6 linked regions of the Daphnia pulex genome follow. The protein of the gene in region 6 purifies or fractionates together with the protein of the main gene of each other region. This does not show direct contact. Links are inferred from orthologs where the notes say so. Each region holds a gene or a part of one and is shown on either strand. Other genes may lie near its edges.

Region 1 (4,032 bases), on a different chromosome or scaffold from region 6:
ACTTTAGCTTTGGCTTCCCATATAGATCGATCTTCAACCTTCTGCCACATTTCGCCACCTTTTTTCATCAGATCTGTGACACTTATGCCAGGGTTATCTTTTTTAATCTGTTCGCGTGAGTCGTTCAACCACAGCATGTACGACGACTGTGGTCGTTTGGGCCTGTTTGCATCCTTATCCTTCTTGGATTTGTGCGATCTGGGAGTTTTAGGGGCCTACAACAAAATTAATAAACGATAAAAACTTTAATTCTGAAATTATTGGCAAATTGAAAGATGATATTACCGCCGATTTCGAGCTACTGGATTTCTTGGGTTCCTTTTCCTTTTTCTCCTTCTCCTCTTTTTTGTCCTTCTTTTTCTTCTTTTTGGACGAGGAATCGGAATCACTGCCAGAACCACTGCCAGCCTTGGCAGCACTACTAGCCTTCGCAGCACTACTAGCCTTGGCTCCACCTGATGCGTCGGATGCTTCCGAGTCGGTCGTAGCCACATTGGAGTCGTATTCTTCTGCTACGTCACTTTCCTCACCAGGTTTGAAGTCTTCGTCATTTTCATCAGAATCTCCACCCGAATCGTCACCTGCAACTGGCACATGTTAGTGGAAAGGCTTTTGTTTCGTTAAGCAAGGAAAACGTACCAACTGCGTCACGCTGTTTGCCTTCAGCCTTGACACGAGCCAAATATGCGTCGGGCGCTTCCTCTTCGTCCGAATCGCCAAAATCATCCCCATGAGCGGACTTGTCCTATTACGTACAACAAAAACTGATTAGTACAAACACTATCAATGGGTTGCTAGATCTTACGGATCGGCCAGTATTTTTGACGCGGAGCTTCTTGTTGTTTACGAAATCGTACAAGCGGTTATATTCCTCCTTTTCAATGCTACTGAAGGTGTGAACAACCCCATTTTTGGTCTCAACTTCGAAGTCAAAAGAACGGGTACTTCCTCCGCCACGAGCAAAGTTAACACTTGCAATTTCTTCGAATCTGTGCGAAGGAAGAATAAATTAAAAAATATGCAAACAAAAATTTCAGGGAAACGAATTCTACCGAATGTGAATAGGAGGTTTATGAACGTAAATAAAACCACGTTCTAGCGGATACAAGTATCCGGCTGCTGCTTTGTAGGAACATCCAACAGCGGGGGTTCCAGAATGGCTATAAATAATTAAAAAAGAAGGAAACTGTGAAATCAGTCTAGAACACTTGAAATGAAAATATAAAATTTTACCCAGTAAAATTTCCAGGTATAGTGACCTTTCGGTTAACCATGGCCTTCATGACGGTACTCATAACTTCATAAGTTGGACCATTACAATCACGAGAAAGTCGGCCTTCAAACTTTTCTTTCAATTCCTCCCTGTTAGGACAAACGTTTTTTGATGACGTGTTGAAAATGTTGAATTATTCAAAATTACTCACTCTGATAATGGTATTTCAAAAGATGTCTCCTCATCTTTGTTAAAGAGAAGGACCAAAAAGTGGTAACGCGTCTGACCTTGCTTAATAGGTGGATCAAGGCTTACCTGAATTACACAATAAAAATATGTAGATTAATGATGATTCTTTTCTTAATTTCTTTTTCAGAGATGTGTAACTTACTACAAAGAAAATTTGCCGACCATCTTTGTGCGGAAGTAAAAACAGGCGAAGTACAGTAGAGGCTGGAATCTTGTAGTCAAATGTCTTACCATGAAGTTGAAAGAATGATTGGAAAACTTTGATGTCATAGCGACCTCTGTCAAGGATAAAAACTAAATGAGCAAATGTTTTAAGTACAAATGATAGAAAATACCTTGGTGTGAGGCACTGAACTTCTCTGAAGATGGCAATTGCATCACCAGTAGCACTGATGACACTTGCTTTAGGCATCACCTGCTTCTGGAATGCTTCAACAGCATCATCTCCACCTTGATCATTGGACTGAATGAAGAGACGCATCTCCATCAGACTGACTGATGCATCATCATTCTAGTTTTAGAGAAAATAAAGCAGTAGGTAAGATGTCTGCAGCATTGTTTGTCATAATAGTACCCACCTGATGGAATTCTAAGGTGACTTCATTTTTCCCTGTTGTGCATTGGGACACATTGCTTAGAGGAATCTCAAAGGCAGTATGGTTTCCAACTTCAAAAGACATAGTTGAACCACTGAACTCAGCACGGCCCCAATTCCATCCTTTGACACTCAGCTCTTTCTCCAGCATGTCTTTTTTGTAGGTTTGAGTAAAAAACTTTGCCAGCTTGTCTTGATCCTAGACAAAACCAAATTAATAGGAAATTGAAAATAAAAAAGCTTTCAAATGTTAAAAAATTACTTACTGAATCTTTAAATCCACCATAGCGATGAAGTGCTCCGGTTCTGAGAAATACACGTAGTCCCCAAGCACCAGCTAGTCGCTGCCAGTTAACCAATTCAATGTCAGAAGAACTTATCTGTTCAACTTTACCCGTTTTGGAATTCTTGAACACGATACTCTGATCCGTTAGTTTTAGACGGCCTGGAGTCTAGAAGAAAAAATTTTGTCAATAGAAGAAGATTCACGTGCAGCCGATATGACAATTTAGCGAGCCTCTTACCATTGAGCCTTTAATTTCAGCTGAAACATCAGAGAACTCTAAAAAATCCATCACACAACGAAAAAATTGTAATCCCGATTGGCGAAATGAATAAAAATCCAACTAGACGAGCTGGAAAGCAAGAGAATAATCGTAACAATGTAAAACACCAGCAGTCGGTTATTTTACTTCGCGCCGAGCGGAGAAGTATAAGGAATGGCCATAAAGCGTTGCCAGTGAAACTCGTTTGGGCAACGCTAGATTTTAAAGATATTTGATACCGTATTTGAACATTTGAAATAAATCATAGTTTAATAGAAAAATTATTTTTAAGTAGAAATTTAAACTGGGGAAGAGGATTTTTCGTTGATTGGATTGGATAGGATTTCAGGATTGTGGAATGTGGATTCTACAATGTTGAGACTCCAGATGGCACTCACTACCATAGATTTTCTAGAGCTTTACATGATCAAAAGATCAAAAAGTGGTCAAGAGGGATCGACCGTATTCTTCTAGTGTTATCCGAAGTACTGTCAGCCGCAAGGCGGATTGTCAAGTTGCATTTACTATTGTAGAAAATAGTATATCCACGTGTTAAAAAATTGGAATTTGGATCTGAATGTTTTCTCGCTGGCCCTCTCAAATTAGTTGACTATATTTTTAAGATTTAAAATGGTTTTCTATTTCGTCAGCACCGCCGTTCAACCCAGTTGCGCACTTTTCATGGGAGAAGAAAAACATGAAAGTAAGAAGTAATCAATCAGTAAGATATAAAATGGGATTATTAATCCTTGTAGTAACAACTAGATGAGGAGTTGATCAAGTGGGGATGGCCTGAAGATGTTTGGTTCCACGTTGACAAGCTATCGTCAGCCCATGTTTACATACGACTAAACAAGGTAAGGGTTTTTTTTATTAAATCAAATAAAACAATTTTTAATACAGCTCTGTTACTATTCTTATTTGTAGGGTCAAGTAATTGATGATATTCCAGCAGCCATTTTAGAAGATGCAGCACAATTATGTAAAGCGAACAGCATCCAAGGGAATAAAATGAACAACATTGATGTTGTTTACACCCTGTGGTCTAATTTGAAAAAGACTCCTGGTATGGAAGTTGGACAAGTTGGATTTCACAAAGAAAAAGATGTACAGATTTCCTTCTTAATGTGTTCCTATCCATTATCTAACAATCAAGTTTTATAGGTTCGCAAGATTAGGGTGGAGAAAAGAATTAATGAAATTGTAAACCGTCTCAACAAAACCAAAGTTGAGAAAAAACCTGATTTAAGGTTTGAAAGAGAACAGAGAGACTGTGCAGAAAGAGACGACAAGAAAAGGCTCCTTAAAGAACAAAAAGAAAGGGAGAGAGAAGAAGAAAAGCGAAAAAAGGATGAAGCTGAACTAAGGTGACCTTGATTTACTAAACACTATATTTATTTTTTTACACAGAAATGTTAATTTTTACATGT
Region 2 (4,140 bases), on a different chromosome or scaffold from region 6:
GGGCTGATCCTTCAACTCAGGCTCTTTCGTTTCGGGCTGATCCTTCAACTCAGGCTCTTTCGTTTCGGGCTGATCCTTCAACTCAGGCTCGCATTTCATGATTGGTTTGTTTTCACACAGATCCGTTTTCTCTGGCTCGGATTGATCGGTTGGTGTAGTTTCACACTGATCCATTTTCTCGGGTTCCGATTCCGTGATTGAAATATCTCTATTGGGGGTTTCAGAGGGGACATTTGTCTTTTCTACAGTTACGAGATCTACAATCGGTTCTTCGATTTCAGCGGGCGGTACGATTTCCACAACAGATACAGAAGCGTCGACAGTATCGTTTTCATGTACCTCAATCGCTGAAGAGTTCGCAACCGGTTCCTCTAACTTTGCAGTCTCTACTTTTTCCTCTAAAATTACGAGATCCGCTTTTTGAGAAGCTTCATCTACCTTGCTATCCGTGGTCATATCTAACGCTTCATCCTCCTTAACATCCTCTACCTTTTCTACGTTTTTTTCTTCGATTTTAACTTTTTCTACAACTAATTCTACTGGTGGTACTTCTACCGCGCATTCGCTTTTAACCGGTTTTGCTTCATCCTCGACAGAAATGGTTTCTGTCTTGCTTGGATTATCTGCTAGCGGATCGGTAGCGCAAGGCGCTACATCCTTCGACTCTTCTTCGCTACACTTTTCAACAAGGGTTACAGTGACAACGGGCTTGTGGGGTTCAGGGTCTTCCTGTTTAACATTCAACGAAGGATGTTCAACATTTTCTTTAGGTTTTTCCGATTTGTGTGCTAAAGATTTTTCAGCCGAGGCCGAAGCTGCAGCTTCTTCCTCTCTTTCTTTCTCTGACCAGACCTCGACAAGACGGGGAAAGACTCCTTCTTCTTCTTCTTCGTCGTCGTCCTCCTCATCCTCAGACACATCGGTGGGTGGAGGTTTCACACTATGCGCCTTTTGTCCTCGCAATACTCGTCCGTCTTTCTTTACGGGGGAAGGAGTTTCTACCTTAACCGGTGAAGGGATTTCTTTTTTTACCGGTGAGGGTTCTTTCTTAACAGGTGAAATCTCTTTCTCTTTTTCCACCTTCAAATTGATGGCTTCACCATAGAGACTGGAAGGCGGTGGATCCCGCCTTTCTGATGTCCCACTCCCTTGATATCTATCCACATGGTCTGCAATTGAAAATTGTCCGGTATCCGACTTACCAGGACCCTTACTAGAGGCAGGCTGCTGAACATATTTGAGTAGCTTATGTTTACGGGTCTGGGGAGTCATGGATTCTTCCTCCTCACCGGTGGTATCACTCTCGTGTCTCGCCCCGTCTTCATCTCGCTTTTCTTGTGGTGGAGTGGAGTAAGGCATCGACTCTGGTGTTTGAAAATCCAGTGCGGATTTGTGCGCTTTTGGCGTAGATGTAGACTCTTCGTTTTTCCTACATTAACATACACTGTGTTGAGTAAATGTTATTTTTTATTTGAAATTACTTTAGAACTTACTTTGGCCTCATGGCTTTTCTGGGAGATTTTTTGGTTGGAGATACATCAGACGCTTCATCCTCGTCTTGAGTTGTTTCTTCAGCACTAGCTTCTGATTCACGCTTCTTTTCTTCATATTGTTTCTTGGCTTCTCTTTGTACTTGGAACCTGGCCTGCTGTGCAGCCAAGTATTCACGAATGAAATCATTTTCAGTTTCATTGCATAGCTAACATGATGAAAGATCATTTAAAAATTGTCTGTAGATCAGTGCAAACAAATGTGATAAGAGTACTTACCGAAAGGTTTGGAACATGCTCTTCATCAGCTAAGGCAGCCTCGCGGTCTTCCTCTAATTGCAGGTGCTAATGAAGAAACAAATGCAACAAAAGTTTAGCTTACTTCAGAATCCTTCTTATATAATAAACTAAAAAGAAGTTTGGCTCCTAGTCTTATCATATTGCATTATCATTCATGTGGGATTTCATTTAAAGTCAGAAGATGGAGTGATGAAATCCAAACATATGTTAGTTCAAATATAGCCTGTAGGGGGTCTGAAATGTAAACAAAATTTGTTTCTGCTTAAAAAAAAGGGAAAAAAATTGCAATGCTACCAGAATATGAGGTTAAGACTTAATATCCTATATTGATTTGCTTAATGACAGATCCCCCCCCCCCCATGGCGACACACGCTGAAAGCGTCTGTTTGCGTCGAGGGGGATGGGCTAACAACAAAACCCGGAGCTAGAGGACGGGAAACACATTAGCGGTTTTTTCAAGTTAAAAGAATATTTACCAATCTGAGCCGCTCTAGCAAATCCTTTTTGCTTCCTGATTTCGGGAGGCTCCTTTTTTCTAGTTCCTGTTTCAAATCAACGACGCGTAGGGATGAAATAGGTTTCCCCCCAACACATAACTCTCTTCCCCGATTGTCCGCCATCGTTTTCCTGTGAAGAATCAAGTGTGATGCTAGCTATCTCAGGCCAGCGCATTCGCTCGGCGACGTTTGTACAGCGCACCTAGCGGTAGCTTCGCGCAACACGTCATAAACATCAAGTCCTACTCCTTCAGTCCTGCTGCTGGTCTATATTTACTGCATCTACAGTCTACACGATGATATACGTTTAAAAAAAATAATGTCTGGTCATATTTAAATAAACAGCAATTAAAATTCAACCAACTATACGTATTGGATTACTTAGAAGTATTTTGTTTAGATTAATCCTTACTGTTGCTGTTGAAACGGTTTTTGCCTGCACACGACTAATAGGGTCAACACGAACACAAGCAAAGTAGAGCAACGACTGTGCAGTTTGAAACAGCTTTAGTAGAAATAGCAACTGCAATGGGAACAAGGGGGTAATTAAGATATGGAGGGTCAGGTCCAATCAAAAGTCCAATGATTCATGAAAGGTAGAGCTCAATGACCCGTACCCTGTTGTTTCTAGTTTCTAACGAACAATTTATTTTCCCCATGATACAAAAATAAGCATTATTTATTCATTGTTAGCAGCAGAGCAATTTCCTCTGGAAACACAATCATTCACACAAATGCAGTGTGACCTACTTTGAAGAGGATTCCTTAACAAACCTACAACTGCTTGCTACTTCTTATTAGTTGAAAATTTGAAATAGACTATTGTGCAATTGAAATGAAAAGCTTTTTTCAATTCAATTTCATCCAAAACAAAATTAACTCTGCTATTACATCAAATAACTGCGCCACTTTTTACCTGCTATTTTATTGGTTGCCAAGTTTAGACATTCCCCTTAAATTGTCGATCAAATATAAATTACTTATTTCCCACTAAATTATTTTAACTCATGTTATAGAATTATGAAGATGATGAATAACCGAAAATGTTTTCATTAAAATTTTTCTCACCGACTACTTGACAATGCTGATGCTCAGCAGGAAATCCAGTCGGAGGAAATCACCAATTGCCAATTGCAGACGTGCAATTCTGTCCGGTTTCATACTTTCATTGGTTCCGGTCAGCACAACATGGCACTCATCTCGTCACTGAAATTTTTTTCGCCGTCAACTTTGACTACCGCCCAAAATGCTTTGTCCGTTTCGTCTAGAAAGTACGTATCGTATTTGTATAAATATCTGTGAAACATTGTTACCGTCCGTTGTTACCGTCCGTTACGGATGACCTTGTACGGCCTTGAATCTTCGATTACTTAACTTTCTTGGCAATTACAGTTCCTCATGGTGGAGTCATGTCGAGATGGGACCTCCTGACCCTATCTTGGGAGTAACTGAAGCCTTCAAGCGTGACACCAACCCCAAGAAAATGAACTTGGGTGTAGGAGCCTACCGAGATGACAATGGAAAACCATTCATCCTGCCATCTGTGAAATTGGTATTTCTGTGAGATTTGTTCATTATATTCCAATAGCTTAATTATAGTTATTATGTTCAGGCTGAAGAGGAAATCCAGAAGAAGAACATGGACAAGGAGTACTCGCCTATCTCCGGTAGTCCAGAATTCTGCAAAGCTACCATCAACCTTGCCCTTGGAGAGGACAATGAATGGACTAAGAATGGATTGGTCAGTTTTCACATGTGCCAACAAAGATGTTTTATAGTTATAAACAATTGCCTTTAAAAATTTTCATTGCAGAATGCTACTGTGCAAGGAATTTCAGGAACTGGTTCCCTCC
Region 3 (3,318 bases), on a different chromosome or scaffold from region 6:
TCTACAAATTGGATGATCTAGTGCGTCCATACGTCCACAAAATCCTTGTCGTTATTGAACCGCTGCTAATCGACGAAGACTATTATGCTCGTGTTGAAGGTCGAGAAATCATCTCTAATTTAGCCAAAGCAGCTGGTTTAGCAACTATGATTTCTACCATGAGACCTGATATCGATAACATTGATGAATATGTTCGTAACACTACTGCAAGAGCTTTTGCTGTGGTAGCTTCTGCACTGGGAATTCCTTCCCTTCTTCCCTTTCTAAAGGTATATAGTTTGTTTCAGTTTTAAGATGGGCTTGTTCTTATCTATTATTTTTATTTTAGGCCGTTTGCAAGAGTAAAAAGTCATGGCAAGCTCGCCATACTGGCATCAAAATCGTCCAACAAATTGCTATTCTTATGGGATGTGCTATTTTACCTCACTTGCGAAATCTGGTTGAGATCATTGAACATGGATTGGTAGATGAGCAACAGAAAGTGCGCACCATCACTGCCTTGTCCATTGCTGCGCTGGCAGAAGCCGCGACTCCGTACGGTATTGAGAGCTTTGACTCTGTTTTAAAACCGTTGTGGAAGGGTATAAGAACTCATCGTGGTAAGGGATTGGCTGCTTTCCTTAAGGTATGTTAATTGAAAGTAAAATATTATCCTGCATACTGTAATATTATTTGTTTAAAAAAAATAGGCTATTGGCTATTTGATTCCTCTCATGGATGCCGAATACGCCAATTATTACACTCGCGAAGTGATGTTAATTTTAATTCGCGAGTTTCAGTCACCTGACGAAGAAATGAAAAAGATTGTACTTAAAGTGGTGAAACAGTGTTGCGCAACTGACGGTGTGGAACCTCAGTATATTAAAACAGAAATTTTGCCACATTTCTTCAAAAGTTTCTGGAATCATAGAATGGCATTAGATAGACGTAACTATCGCCAGCTAGTTGACACAACAGTTGAAATCGCTAATCGTGTTGGTGCAGCGGAAATTATTGGCCGAGTGGTTGACGATTTAAAGGTTTTATTCATTTTCATTATTTATAATTCAGTGACAGTCAAATAACATGTTGAATATTTTTCCTAACAGGACGAAAATGAACAATACCGGAAAATGGTTATGGAAACGGTCGAAAAGATCATGGGTAATCTTGGTGCCGCTGATATCGACGCTCGCTTGGAAGAGCAGCTCATCGACGGTATTCTCTACGCATTTCAGGAACAAACGACTGAAGATGTTGTGATGCTAAATGGATTCGGTACAATCGTGAACTCACTTTCCAAACGAGTTAAACCTTATTTGCCACAAATTTGTGGTACTATTTTATGGCGTTTGAACAACAAATCAGCAAAAGTAATGTTATACAACTTTTATTTGTAAACGTTCGTTTTAATATAATGATTTTTATTCCATAGGTTCGGCAACAAGCTGCTGATTTGATTAGCCGTATTGCAGCAGTAATGAAAACTTGTCAGGAAGAAAAGCTCATGGGGCATCTGGGAGTTGTTCTCTATGAATATCTTGGCGAAGAGTACCCTGAAGTTCTTGGGTCTATTTTAGCTGCTCTTAAAGCTATTGTTAACGTAATTGGCATGCACAAGATGACACCGCCAATCAAAGATTTACTTCCCCGATTAACACCTATTTTGAAGGTTCGCTTTTTTAACATATCAGTAATTTATTTTTCTTATTGTGGTTTTATTATCATTTTAGAATCGGCATGAAAAAGTACAGGAAAATTGCATCGATTTGGTTGGGCGTATTGCCGATCGTGGGCCAGAGTACGTTTCAGCTCGAGAGTGGATGCGCATTTGTTTTGAGCTTTTAGAACTCTTGAAAGCACACAAGAAAGCCATTCGACGAGCTACAGTCAACACTTTTGGTTATATCGCCAAAGCAATTGGTGAGACCGAAATTGTCATGGTTATTATGTACAATATAATTATTTATTTTTCAACAACAAATTTCAGGCCCACACGATGTATTGGCTACACTGCTTAATAATTTGAAGGTACAGGAGCGCCAAAATCGTGTTTGTACAACCGTTGCCATTGCAATTGTGGCTGAAACTTGTTCGCCCTTCACCGTCCTCCCTGGTCTTATGAACGAATATAGAGTCCCGGAACTTAATGTTCAAAATGGTGTTTTGAAGTCGATGTCATTCTTGTTCGAGTACATTGGCGAGATGGGGAAGGATTACATTTATTCAGTTACATCGCTCTTAGAAGACGCTTTGATGGATCGGTAAGTTTCTAGTTATTTTGAATTTATGATTAATTAGTTAATGAAGCACATCTGTTTATTTTAGTGACCTGGTCCATCGTCAAACTGCTTGTGCAGCCATCAAGCACATGGCTTTGGGTGTTTTCGGCTTTGGTTGTGAAGATGCCCTCACACACCTGTTGAACTACGTTTGGCCCAATATTTTTGAAACATCCCCTCATTTGGTTCAAGCTTTTATGGATGCTGTGGAGGGTATGAGAGTAGCCCTGGGCCCTATTAAAGTCTTACAATACGCACTGCAGGTAACTTAATTATTTGATTGAATTAGAATTTCAGTTTTAAACCATTTTCTTTTCTATATAGGGTCTGTTTCATCCGGCCCGGAAAGTTCGTGACGTGTATTGGAAGATTTACAACTCACTATACATCGGCGGTCAAGATTCACTGGTGTGTGGGTACCCTCGAGTGTCCAACGAAGGGAAAAACACTTTTAATCGTTATGAACTCGATTATGTATTGTAATTCACTTTCTGTACTACATTTTTACACAAGTTTCATGTACTGATTTCATTAAAAATAAACTCACTTGAGCCGTCGCAATTCGTGTAATGTCATCAAATTTAGATACAATATTATTTAACATTTCAATTTAGCTAGTGATTATTGATTAAGTCATTAGGCGTGTGTAGATAACATCTGTGGCCTTTGACCATTAATTGACGCTGGTCCGTAACGTCTCCTAGCCTCTGTCAAAAATGCAGTAACCATTTGCCTAACAACCTGATCAAAAAAAACATGTGACAGTTGAGAGTGAAGTACAGACCGAAATTCAAAGGAAATGGAAAAATCCAATGTGCAACTTTTAGGATTTCCCTTTAGTCCAGGACTGAATTTCCAAATAGTAAGAAGATGGTTGAATAGCTTCCCTTCTGAACACACAGACTTCACCATGTTTGGTGGGGTAAGCATGACACTGCTTGTATAGCTTTCTACTAACAAAGGAGGAAAGCCAATTGCTAAATCAGCTCTAAGATGACCAGTAGTTCGTGAGGTAACTACAGAGCTTTTGCAATATGGAACAAAATTTTTGTAATTC
Region 4 (3,678 bases), about 1.3 Mb from region 6:
CGTTTCCAGCTCCTATTTGATTATTACCAAGTATTCTCAATAAATTAGAAGTGCCGGAGCCAAAACGTATTAAATTATTAGTTGAAAAAGACATTGTTGACGAGGTGACAAATGATTTCATCACCCACCAACAAGCAACAACCGGGTGCTTCGAACTGTAGCAGACCAAAACTGTTTTCAAACAGAAAAAAGGAAATGTGGGGTACTGGGTTTCAGCAACCAAGTTTTCAGCTAGTTTCTAGCTTTTGTTCAGCTACTAGAGATACAACAAATCTAACTTTGTAATTGGAATTTGGAACGTCCTTCAAATACTGGTTTCGAATTGTCGCAAGTATTTTCAAAGTGAGTAAAAAAAATCAACATGCCTTATTATAAATACTGTGTCATAACTCATAAGTCAATAAGTCATAACTCATGAGCAAAAGGTTCATATATTACTTCAGATCTACGAGTAAAGTAGACGTCATTTTTAGACTCCAACAATGGAACAAGACAATTAATTAAACGGCCACAAGTTTCATATATTTAGTCCAAATCTTCGGGGATACAGAAAAAAAAAATCCAGCAAAATAAAAACATGACGCATCAACTTCTTTGTTTTCCTTTTTCCGAAATGGATTATAGATTAAATGAGGTCAGCCACTGAAATTGATTAAAAACAAACACATTTAGAAAGAGTTAAAAAAAAACATGCTAAAAATATTTTACCATTCATGGGCATTTCGTCAACCTGTGTAGCATAGTACTGTTCGATATCGCGGAGAATACGGATATCGTCATTCTTGACAAAGTTAATTGCAACACCTTTACGTCCGAATCGGCCAGAACGACCGATACGATGGATGTACAACTCACGGTTGTTAGGGAGATCGTAGTTAATGACCAACGAAACTTGTTGAACATCAATACCACGAGCCCAAACGTCAGTTGTAATAAGAACTCGGCTAGAATAAACGAATAATTGTTATTACTCTGAATGGTTATATGGTAGACGAAAATTTCAATACCTCTGACCATTACGGAATTCTTTCATAATAGTATCACGCTCTTTTTGAGGCATGTCTCCGTGCATTGAAGAAACGGTAAAATTCGCTTCACGCATTTTCTCCGTCAACCAGTCAACCTAAAATCAATCTAACTGTGTTACATCGAAATCAACAATAGAAGAGATTTAATCGTGACTAACCTTGCGTTTAGTATTACAAAAAATAACCGCCTGCGTGATTGTCAGTGTGTCGTACAGATCGCACAACGTGTCAAACTTCCATTCTTCTCTTTCGACAGCGACAAAGAACTGTTTGATTCCTTCGAGTGTCAACTCATCACTAAACCACATAAAATAATTAGTAATAAAAAACAAGCAGACTTTTAACAACGTTTACCGTTTGACTAAAATGCGAATGGGATCTGTCATGAATTTGCTGGTCATCTCCAAGATTTCATGAGGCAATGTGGCTGAAAGAAGAACCACCTTGAATAAAAGATTGATTTAATTGGTTTTTCTTATGAAATATCATAAAACATACTTGGGTTGCTGGAGGAAGGTAACGGTAGACATCGTAAATTTGCTCCTTGAACCCTTTATTTAACATTTCATCGGCTTCATCCAGGACCAACATTTTAATTGAACGTGTCCTTAGTGTACGTCGGCGAATCATATCTGTAGAGTTATCAAGACACTTATCATCAATCCAAACTTAACAAACAGAAATAGCAAAATATACCAAATACACGTCCAGGGGTTCCAGAAACAATGTGCTGACCGTAGTCCAATTTTCGAACATCCTCTCCAACATTAGTGCCGCCGATACACGCATGGCATTGAACATTCATGTAATCACCAAGAGCCAGAATAACCTAAACACAAGCTAAATGAAAACACTGTACTACAGAAAGTAATGCCATAACATACTTTCTGAATTTGAACTGCCAACTCTCGAGTGGGGCTTAGAACCAATATTTGAGTTTCTCTTGTTTGAATTTCAAGACTCTGAAGAATTGAAATTGAAAATGTGGCTGTTTTGCCAGTACCGGATTGGGCTTGGGCAATAACGTCTCTCCCCTTGATTACTGGGGCAATTGCTCTCTGCTGAATAGCTGATGGTTTTTCAAATCCTATAGAAACATTTAAAGCCAACCTCAACATTAAAAATCATGTAGGTTAAGGATAATGTGAATAATGGAGCAAGGTCTCAACAAGTGAAAGTCTCATTTGTACGTACCATAAGCGTAAATTCCTCTTAGCAGGTCTTCACGGAGGCCCATGCTGTCAAATGTGGGAATAACATTGACATCTTCACTCGTTTCAAATTCAATATTAGTTAAATCATCCGGCATCTGTTGGACAACACGTCTGCCTTTAGACTCCATTTTTTTAGAAATCAGAAGTGTGAAAAAGCACGATAGTTCGTGAATAATTAGTTTGCGTCCGTTCGGCAAGGGTGAAAGGATGCTATAGAATGAATGTTACAGACGTTAAAATCGCTTCAACATGGAGTCAACTGTGTTGCCAAATTTTCATACTCATGGTTTCAAAGCAAAAATTTACAACTTAAAAGTAATGATTCATGATCCACTAAAATTTGAAACTAATTTAATTTTTAATTTAATAAAAATCAATGAAAGTTGCTAAAAACCTTTTAAAGACCTGGCCTTTGTAATTTGTATATCGATATCGTGCATGAAAAGATTCAATTAAGCAGACGAACGAACACTGAAAATAATTTTCTCCCGATTCAAGAAAAATAAAAATCTAAAATGTTTACTTTGAAAAACGTTATTCAATCGGCTTTTCGATTGGCGAATTATTCACCAATTTCTAAAAATGTCGTTTCAGTCAAAGCAAAAATTTTGCTGCCTAGCACATCAAGGTTTTTTTCGGGTTCGTCAGAATCAACTTTTCGGTGTGTCCAATACCCTTCCATGAATGCTACCCCAAGTATATTATCATCTATTTCCCCATTGCTTCAAAATCTGTCATTGTAAGCAAGAATTTAAATTTTATTAAGCACACAAATTAAGCTTACTTTCTTGCAGAACTACTCCCTCTTTGCAGCAAACCCGATCAGTTACAAAATGGTCACTCAAAAAAGGGAAGCGCAAAACAGTTAAAGCTGTTGTTTCTAGGTTCTATCGTTTAGGATGGTAATATATTTTATTCATTCCTGGTTATTTATATTCATTATGTTTTCTTAGGGGTGCATGGATAAGGCCAATGGTGGGACACAGTAAACGTCACTGGAGCAAAACAGCAAAAAGGAAGATTCGGGGTGAAAAGCATGTATTTTGTAATGCTACCCAGTCAACTCTTCTTGACAAAATGGTAACGAAATACTGGAGAAAGAGACGGTTTTACGTTGATGACATGTACGAGTCGTATCATCAGCGAGAAGAGTATCCATCAAGTGCTGTTAAACCTCATTGAGGTCTATAATTAATACTAGTTCAAATACATTCAAATAATGGAAAAGGAAATTTATTGTATTTATTTCATTCCAATGTTAAAAAATATTGGTTGTACAAATATCTTAACCATATTTAACTTGAACTGAAATGTATTACTGAAGTGTTATCTTTGAGTACATGAACAGAAGAAATTTGAAAAACTGTTACATAATATCAGGGGGTGGGGGATTTAAAAGTCCCATTCCTGAGTCCTTTTAACACTTTTTCGCTGAG
Region 5 (3,616 bases), on a different chromosome or scaffold from region 6:
TGTCATTAAAATGGTAATACTGTTTCCAATGTGCCGAAAACAGAAGTATCGGTAAACATCGAAGGAATTTCTTTGTACTCCAAGGAAATATCACCATTTGCAAGGCATGTATTATTTCCATTTTGTCGTCATCCGTCGGTTTCTTCTTTCTCTGTATGATGATGAAAAAAGTGCCTGAAAATCAAAGGGTAAGCAATCCTAAGTTAACTCTTGTCTTAGGTCGGGCTCAATTCCAAAGTGCCGGAGTCCAACAGATCTCTTTAAAATAAACGGGTCCTGACAAGGCAAGTCCACAGCGATTCACCACGACGGTTGTAGACAAAGGAGAAGCGGTTGCTGTTTCCAGCATATCCTCCAGATCCTGTCACCTATCAATCCACAATGCATCCATCCAAATCCATTCCAATGAAATCCAAATCCAATGCAATCCAAATCCCACAACAATCCCATCCAGAGAGAGCAATAACCTTGCTGTGTACGCTACAAATAGAAAGGGGAAGAAAATGAGAATCATGTTTATTCGACGCACAGCTATTTTGTGTATTACAAGAGGGAGGGGAAAAAGGAAAGGATGAGGTTGCTCACGGAAAAAAAAAAATTAGTTGGTTGGAATCGGGGAGCTCTGAGGGTATTCGAAACCAAAAAGGATTACGTGTACGTCGAGAAGAAACTGAATGATTAGTAGCAATAATTGCAAATGCCAAAATCATAACCCAAGAAACATATTTTGAGTTTCTCATAAAAAATTGAAATCTTTGATGTAGCTTGTTGTAAAAAAAAAAAAAATTGGTTTTTGCAATTTAAAAGATTTGCTATTCATCTAAGAATTTTGAAAATATAGTATGAACCATGGAGACAATACCAAAGACCCCTTTCCTCCTCCAGTCCTTCCAATCCTTAAGCTTTTTGTTGTCCACATCGCACAACTTTTGTCTTTTTGTTTAGTTTTGCCTTTTTCTCGTTTCCATAACTTTTTTAAGATCGTGATCTGGAACGAGGTGAGCGTGAGCGCGAACGGGAATATGAACCACCACGACGAACGGGGGAATAGCTGGGGGAGCCGCGACTTCCACGTGTTTTGCCGCCACCACCGGCTGGAGAATAAGATCGCGATCGATCACGAGTTCCGCCGCTGCGACCTATAGAAGAAAAAATTCAAGGTCAATATTTACTTTAAACAAAAATTGAAATATAACTTACCGTCTCCGCTATCTTCCTTAACGCGCACATATGATACTTCTCCCTGTAAACGTACGAATAATTTTGAAAACTTTGTTTATCAAGATTTGTAGAAAATATACCTCATGTGAACGGAATCTTGAGTCATCTAATTTCTTGATGGCGTATTTCATATCCTCGTAGCGAAGGAATTCAACCATTCCAGTTCCATCTTTATAGGTATCAGCATAACACACATCACCAGCTTCTCTCATGTGATCTTTTAAATCTTGCCATGATCCAGTAGGAGGAAGACCTGTGAATATCAAAAGTGGCTTTAAATGATGGTTTAAAACTTTACTAAATGTTTAACTCACCAGTTACAATGACTCTGTAATTTGTTCTTCTTGCTGGTGGCCCTCGACTCCTGCCTCCACCATTGCTACCCCCACCATCACCCCCTCCTCTACCTCCATCACCACCTCTTCCTCCACTTCGACCACCACTACCCCTAAAAAATAAATATTATGAAAAATTAAATTAGGATTTTTACTTGTTTGTCATAATTTCTTTTACCAACAAAATAAAACAATCACAACTAAATTACAAATATGGTATGTGAGGATAGAAAAACTGACCTGTGTCCACCACCAGAATTCTGTGATCCTCTTGGAAATTCCACTCTCAAACGATATCCATCATAGTCATAGCCATCACGAGCATGCACAGCATCCTCAGCATCCCTATAAAGTGCTTGTAATTAACTAAACAAGGAAACAAATATAACCATGCAACATACCTGGGATCTTCAAATTCAACAAAAGCAAAAGGAGGTCCTCGTCGGTTCTTTAAATCAATGTATGCAATCTTTCCAAATTTGTAGAATAAGTCTTCAATGTCCTTAGTGCGAATGTCGGGTGGCAAGTTACCGACGTAGATTCTGGCTTCATTGTTGCGAGAACTTGACATACTGACTGTTTCTTGTCACTTACGGTTAGTTGCCAAATGTGTATGTTAAATCGAATTCGAATACGGAATTTGCTTTTTCGAAAAAAGACGTCACAGTAGTCTTGGGTGTTAGGCGCCCCTTGTCAAACAGAAAAATGCCGTAAATTTTTCTGAACGGGTAATGGCGTCAGCCATGGAGCATTGCCAGATCAGCAAGTTGATAACGCTTTTATTTTTATTTTTTGTCTTTTTTTTATAGTTACTATTTTTGTGATTTTAATTTTTTTTGTTTGCCTATAAATCTAGCAAATAAATCGCGGATGAAAATTAAGTTGAAATAAGTTCATATTAGTGGCTTTGTGAATAATTAGGTTTCAAAGTGAACACGGTGGCACTCTAGTAAGCGCAAACCGAAGACCGAACCACAGCTATTAATGGTTAACTCAGTTATCTCAAAATTATGCTTGTTATCTTGAGTACTTCTTTGTTCTGGTGCAATTAACTGAATGACCCTTGCATGCAGAGCCTATTGCGCGACATTTTTGTTGGGCTCTTGGTAACGACGTTCGCGTGCAATCTATACCTGGTATAAAATCGTACATCAAGGTCGAGTTCTTTTCAACCGCATTGACGTAACGATCAACTTTGTGACAAGGTCATTTGCTCTGGGGGTTATCTCCTTTCAAGAACTGGTATAAATAAACCGGCATTGGTTACAACAATAACCTATCTTTAATTTTTCAGTGGTGCATTTATTCCTTTTTTCCTGTGAAATTTTGAGTTGGCTTGCCATAAGCAATAGCTCTGAAAATTGTAAGTCTGAAAAATAGTTGAGCGTGCCATAAGGGATAAGACAACTTAGATTTGAAATAATAATAACAAAAAAAGTATTTATGTTCTTCTTTTGTGTTCCTTATTATATTTCACAATGTTTTGTTTTGTCCGTTCCGCCCGGAAATGTGATATTTAAAAAAGTATTCTAACAGCAGCAAACGGAAACGCTTATAAATGTTGACGTCACACATTTCATTTTAATTAAAAATTTTAGCAAGGAGAAACGTGAATAATTATTATTGTTAATTATAGTTGATAGACTTTCAATAATTTCCCTGTTTAAAAAAAACGCGCCTTTTGTAACTATCGTTAGAATCACTTGGTTCTATCATTTACTTCTACCGATACTTAAAGCCTTAATACGTTGGAGCAAGGTATTTGTGCGATAGGCAATTGACTGTCAATTTTAGTCCCGCATTTTTTTGCTACGGTTACTACTGCCCTCTAACGGAAAACATTCATTCAGTCAAAAACGTTTTTCCCTCATGAATGCAATATGAAAAATAAATGAGAAATCAAATGTTGTTAACCTTGTATTTTACTAACCAAATTGTAACCATATTATCATGATAGTATGTTAGTATGTTGTTTGAATGAATCAGTCCACTGGTGGCGCTTTGGACACAACTTGACTTACGAACATCAGAGTTCATGTAAGTTGCTGGTAACAGGCCTT
Region 6 (2,858 bases):
TTGTACCTTCATGCTCAAATCTGCGCACATTTCAAGCAATACAAGAAAGCTATCCAGCTCATCAATAGGTATTATAATTAGTTCATGAATATAAAGCGTAACTATTAAAAACCAAACGTTATTTTCTAGATCAATTTTGCAACTGAATTCTATAACCTTTGCTGTGAGTGGAACGAAAGATGTGATCAGATCCCAATTATGTTTTAAACTGTCGCAATTATTCGATGAAATTGGAAATTTGAAAGACGCACATCACCAACTAAGGCTGTCCTTTCAATATGGCATTTCTATGAATTGTCAAATGCTAGAATTCTATCATAAATTTACATGTAAACTGGGAGCACAAAAAGAAATTCCAATTCCGTCTGATTCTCATCAAGAGCAAGAGGAACTGATTGCGACAATTCTGGAACATTCGGATGACTTAACCCTTAATTACTTAATACGGGATTCTTATGCAGCGTTTAGCCTTCCATAAAAAAATGCAACTGAGAAATACATTTTCTATGTGAAAATTTTTTACTGTCAATTATGAAAATGACTTGGAAAAATTGCTGGAAAAAAAAAACAAGAATGCCGTGTCGATAAACAAAAAAAAAGTTAGTATGGCCTGAATCTCCTGTTGCTTTGATTATTCATATTTCTGCTGGGTGGAGTGATGGCGATGTCAATATAGTCTCCAATGGTAAAACGGCACTGTTTGAGGGTCTTCATATCATCTGGCCCGCGTTCTCCTGAGATTGTGGAACCTATTTCACGTCGAGACATGCTTAGTGTGCTTCGGTCGGGGAATACCTAAGCAGACAGAAGAAAAGAATGATGTATAATGATGAACTAACAAACAAACACAGCAGTTCCTCTTTACTTTAAAGTACTGTATGAACTAGAATGTACCTGAGCAAAGGAAAAGCGTGTTCCACGGCGTCTGGCTTCATAATTAACTTCTCTCACCAATCCAGTAATTTCTTGAAGAGTGGCATCCATCCTATAAATGCAAAATGCAAAATTTCATGAATTCTACGATTACACATAACTTTAGCCGTAAATATCACTTTTTCTTGGGATTTCCTTACCATGTATAAATTTGAAGCTCACTTGCTGGCACACTACCTCTTGCATAATCACCAAGACTATGGTGTCTTCCCATGGCACAGAAAACACGAAGTAACAATGGGCATGTCTGCAAAGAAAACTCAGTTCAGTCATATTTTAGATTAGAAAATGCAAAAAATGTTAGTCTACCTTTTCTCTGTCAACAGATTTTTCAGTTTCTCTATTTTCTTCTACTCGAACGGCCACAGCAGATTCTACAGTTCCCGTAGCCATTCTGTATGGTTTTAACTTCAAATTACTTTTCACAAGGTTCTTGAATAGTTTTAATGATTGAGTTAGAAGAGCCGGGAGAAACAAGATTATTCTGTTTCATGGACGCGAACAACTTCTGATGAGACAGCGCCTCAACCGGCTGATAGTGGCAATTTGTAATTTTGCCACATTGCCATCATGTGAATAATGTCTGCGGAGTGCGGGACGGCCAGGCGGGCCAGCGATCGAAAATGAATTACGGCCTTACCAGAGCAATAGATCCCTGGTCGGTTCACGGCTGTGTTGGCTTCCCCATCTCGATTTTAGGGTAAACGTAAGCCGATTTTCAGGGGGTTTTAGGGCGGGGCCTGTCAGAATTGTGAAGTGGAAACTTTAAAAAGAGCCATCTAGGCTCTCAAAAGTAGCTGGACGTTGTAGCTGACACACTCACTAGAGGCGCTTTTTAAAGTTTCCAAATCGGCTTACGTTTACCCTAAAATCGAGATGGGGAAGCCAACACAGCCGTGAACCGACCAGGGATCTATTGCTCTGGCCTTGCCTTACGCATTTCTTATTTAATGTAATAGTCCGCATCTACGCGTACTAAATACTAACCACTTCAAATAATTAGCTGCAATTTAATTGAAGAGAAGATTGGATTGGTGTTTATTTTTAATTTCAAACTAAGGATTAATCATTCAGAATTCGAATCACAATCGGAACTTTTAATCATGTTTTAATTAGAGAAAACTATGTTTTAACATTAATAACGTATGGCATTCTATCAACGGAGAAGTCTTTTCAAGCAAATATGTTGTCTAAAAATTATGTTTTTCATTTCGTTCTGAGTTGTGAAAGCTTAACCACATTTTAACTTTCCCTCGGCTCTGTTTACGTGCAATAAATTCATAATACGAAAGGAAATACATTGCAAGGCCTGTTTGATCGGGGTATCACGTAATGTCACAATCTACGGATATCAGAGAGAGACATCTATGGCTGAAAACATCGTGAAACTTCGTTCACGTTCATTGTGATTCATGCTGGGTAAATAGAATCTAAACAATCTAGAATATAGGTGGCAGGCGCGAACAATGATCACAATAGACTGCAACCCCCCTTGCCAACTCAGGCCTTTGCTCACTTTGTGATGTTGCTATGTTAGAAAGTTCGTAGAATCGGGAAATGGGAACGTCACATTGTAAACGTCAAGGTCATGAATCTCGTATCGCCTGTTGAGTGTTGACTAATGAAATACGTTTACTCTTAAAGAAAAAGTATGTAACAGTTTAGAAATGTCCTACCGTTTTGTGTTGTGTTGTGTTCTCTTTCAAACCATTGTTGTCAGTCAAGAACTAAGTGCTGCTATCGACCAGCATCCAGAAAGTTTTTGGAAATGTTCTCAACGTGAAAATCCTGAATGTCAATGCTTTCCGAAGACAAATGGCGATTTCAACTTACAATGTTCAGTTGGTGAGGGTTCTATTTCAGCAGATTATAAAGCTCTTAAAGACAATGGTGACAGTTCATTTGAAATTCAGTGTTCATGTGAT

The links.
Region 1: the proteins of histone deacetylase complex subunit SAP18-like (region 6) and FACT complex subunit Ssrp1-like fractionate together in Homo sapiens (co-fractionation; 3 studies listed by BioGRID and IntAct, with this or other methods). This does not show direct contact. The link is inferred for Daphnia pulex from reciprocal best matches to the Homo sapiens genes SAP18 and SSRP1.
Region 2: the proteins of histone deacetylase complex subunit SAP18-like (region 6) and apoptotic chromatin condensation inducer in the nucleus-like fractionate together in Homo sapiens (co-fractionation; 7 studies listed by BioGRID and IntAct, with this or other methods). This does not show direct contact. The link is inferred for Daphnia pulex from reciprocal best matches to the Homo sapiens genes SAP18 and ACIN1.
Region 3: the proteins of histone deacetylase complex subunit SAP18-like (region 6) and splicing factor 3B subunit 1-like purify together in Homo sapiens (co-immunoprecipitation; 3 studies listed by BioGRID and IntAct, with this or other methods). This does not show direct contact. The link is inferred for Daphnia pulex from reciprocal best matches to the Homo sapiens genes SAP18 and SF3B1.
Region 4: the proteins of histone deacetylase complex subunit SAP18-like (region 6) and eukaryotic initiation factor 4A-III fractionate together in Homo sapiens (co-fractionation; 3 studies listed by BioGRID and IntAct, with this or other methods). This does not show direct contact. The link is inferred for Daphnia pulex from reciprocal best matches to the Homo sapiens genes SAP18 and EIF4A3.
Region 5: the proteins of histone deacetylase complex subunit SAP18-like (region 6) and serine/arginine-rich splicing factor 1-like purify together in Homo sapiens (co-immunoprecipitation; 4 studies listed by BioGRID and IntAct, with this or other methods). This does not show direct contact. The link is inferred for Daphnia pulex from reciprocal best matches to the Homo sapiens genes SAP18 and SRSF1.

The regions. Positions count from the first base shown.
Region 1 is NC_060026.1:11,629,052-11,633,083, forward strand, and holds the start of FACT complex subunit Ssrp1-like, read right to left. Parts: upstream 2,801-4,032; 5' UTR 2,633-2,800; coding exon 2,582-2,632; intron 2,510-2,581; coding exon 2,324-2,509; intron 2,257-2,323; coding exon 2,041-2,256; intron 1,974-2,040; coding exon 1,798-1,973; intron 1,741-1,797; coding exon 1,605-1,740; intron 1,529-1,604; coding exon 1,425-1,528; intron 1,363-1,424; coding exon 1,234-1,362; intron 1,161-1,233; coding exon 1,053-1,160; intron 990-1,052; coding exon 806-989; intron 746-805; coding exon 640-745; intron 588-639; coding exon 286-587; intron 216-285; coding exon 1-215. Other genes in the region: coiled-coil domain-containing protein 25-like, read left to right, coding at 3,233-3,305, 3,368-3,459, 3,530-3,709, 3,767-3,969. UniProt on the Homo sapiens protein: Component of the FACT complex, a general chromatin factor that acts to reorganize nucleosomes. The FACT complex is involved in multiple processes that require DNA as a template such as mRNA elongation, DNA replication and DNA repair.
Region 2 is NC_060026.1:13,527,855-13,531,994, forward strand, and holds the start of apoptotic chromatin condensation inducer in the nucleus-like, read right to left. Parts: upstream 2,801-4,140; 5' UTR 2,700-2,800; exon of another isoform or gene 2,669-2,699; intron 2,611-2,668; 5' UTR 2,411-2,610; coding exon 2,267-2,410; intron 1,836-2,266; coding exon 1,770-1,835; intron 1,700-1,769; coding exon 1,494-1,699; intron 1,430-1,493; coding exon 1-1,429. Other genes in the region: aspartate aminotransferase, mitochondrial-like, read left to right, coding at 3,476-3,558, 3,680-3,839, 3,900-4,028, 4,101-4,140.
Region 3 is NC_060027.1:4,648,201-4,651,518, reverse strand, and holds the end of splicing factor 3B subunit 1-like, read left to right. Parts: coding exon 1-269; intron 270-328; coding exon 329-625; intron 626-689; coding exon 690-1,019; intron 1,020-1,088; coding exon 1,089-1,352; intron 1,353-1,414; coding exon 1,415-1,651; intron 1,652-1,712; coding exon 1,713-1,902; intron 1,903-1,969; coding exon 1,970-2,243; intron 2,244-2,307; coding exon 2,308-2,524; intron 2,525-2,585; coding exon 2,586-2,744; 3' UTR 2,745-2,818; downstream 2,819-3,318. Other genes in the region: coenzyme Q-binding protein COQ10 homolog B, mitochondrial-like, read right to left, coding at 2,898-3,318. UniProt on the Homo sapiens protein: Component of the 17S U2 SnRNP complex of the spliceosome, a large ribonucleoprotein complex that removes introns from transcribed pre-mRNAs.
Region 4 is NC_060018.1:3,384,302-3,387,979, forward strand, and holds eukaryotic initiation factor 4A-III, read right to left. Parts: upstream 2,501-3,678; 5' UTR 2,371-2,500; coding exon 2,223-2,370; intron 2,116-2,222; coding exon 1,913-2,115; intron 1,858-1,912; coding exon 1,725-1,857; intron 1,661-1,724; coding exon 1,527-1,660; intron 1,472-1,526; coding exon 1,383-1,471; intron 1,326-1,382; coding exon 1,187-1,325; intron 1,124-1,186; coding exon 1,008-1,123; intron 945-1,007; coding exon 709-944; intron 643-708; coding exon 626-642; 3' UTR 501-625; downstream 1-500. Other genes in the region: ATP synthase mitochondrial F1 complex assembly factor 2-like, read right to left, coding at 1-121; 39S ribosomal protein L35, mitochondrial-like, read left to right, coding at 2,758-2,981, 3,037-3,144, 3,196-3,424; uncharacterized protein LOC124188409, read right to left, coding at 3,635-3,678. UniProt on the Homo sapiens protein: ATP-dependent RNA helicase. Involved in pre-mRNA splicing as component of the spliceosome. Core component of the splicing-dependent multiprotein exon junction complex (EJC) deposited at splice junctions on mRNAs.
Region 5 is NC_060024.1:10,561,747-10,565,362, forward strand, and holds serine/arginine-rich splicing factor 1-like, read right to left. Parts: upstream 2,310-3,616; 5' UTR 2,128-2,309; coding exon 1,958-2,127; intron 1,902-1,957; coding exon 1,797-1,901; intron 1,670-1,796; coding exon 1,536-1,669; intron 1,475-1,535; coding exon 1,302-1,474; intron 1,244-1,301; coding exon 1,201-1,243; intron 1,140-1,200; coding exon 976-1,139; 3' UTR 501-975; downstream 1-500. UniProt on the Homo sapiens protein: Plays a role in preventing exon skipping, ensuring the accuracy of splicing and regulating alternative splicing.
Region 6 is NC_060018.1:4,705,792-4,708,649, forward strand, and holds histone deacetylase complex subunit SAP18-like, read right to left. Parts: upstream 1,469-2,858; 5' UTR 1,327-1,468; coding exon 1,243-1,326; intron 1,181-1,242; coding exon 1,074-1,180; intron 986-1,073; coding exon 895-985; intron 796-894; coding exon 601-795; 3' UTR 501-600; downstream 1-500. Other genes in the region: uncharacterized protein LOC124210509, read left to right, coding at 1-68, 130-478; protein toll-like, read left to right, coding at 2,601-2,858. UniProt on the Homo sapiens protein: Component of the SIN3-repressing complex. Enhances the ability of SIN3-HDAC1-mediated transcriptional repression. When tethered to the promoter, it can direct the formation of a repressive complex to core histone proteins.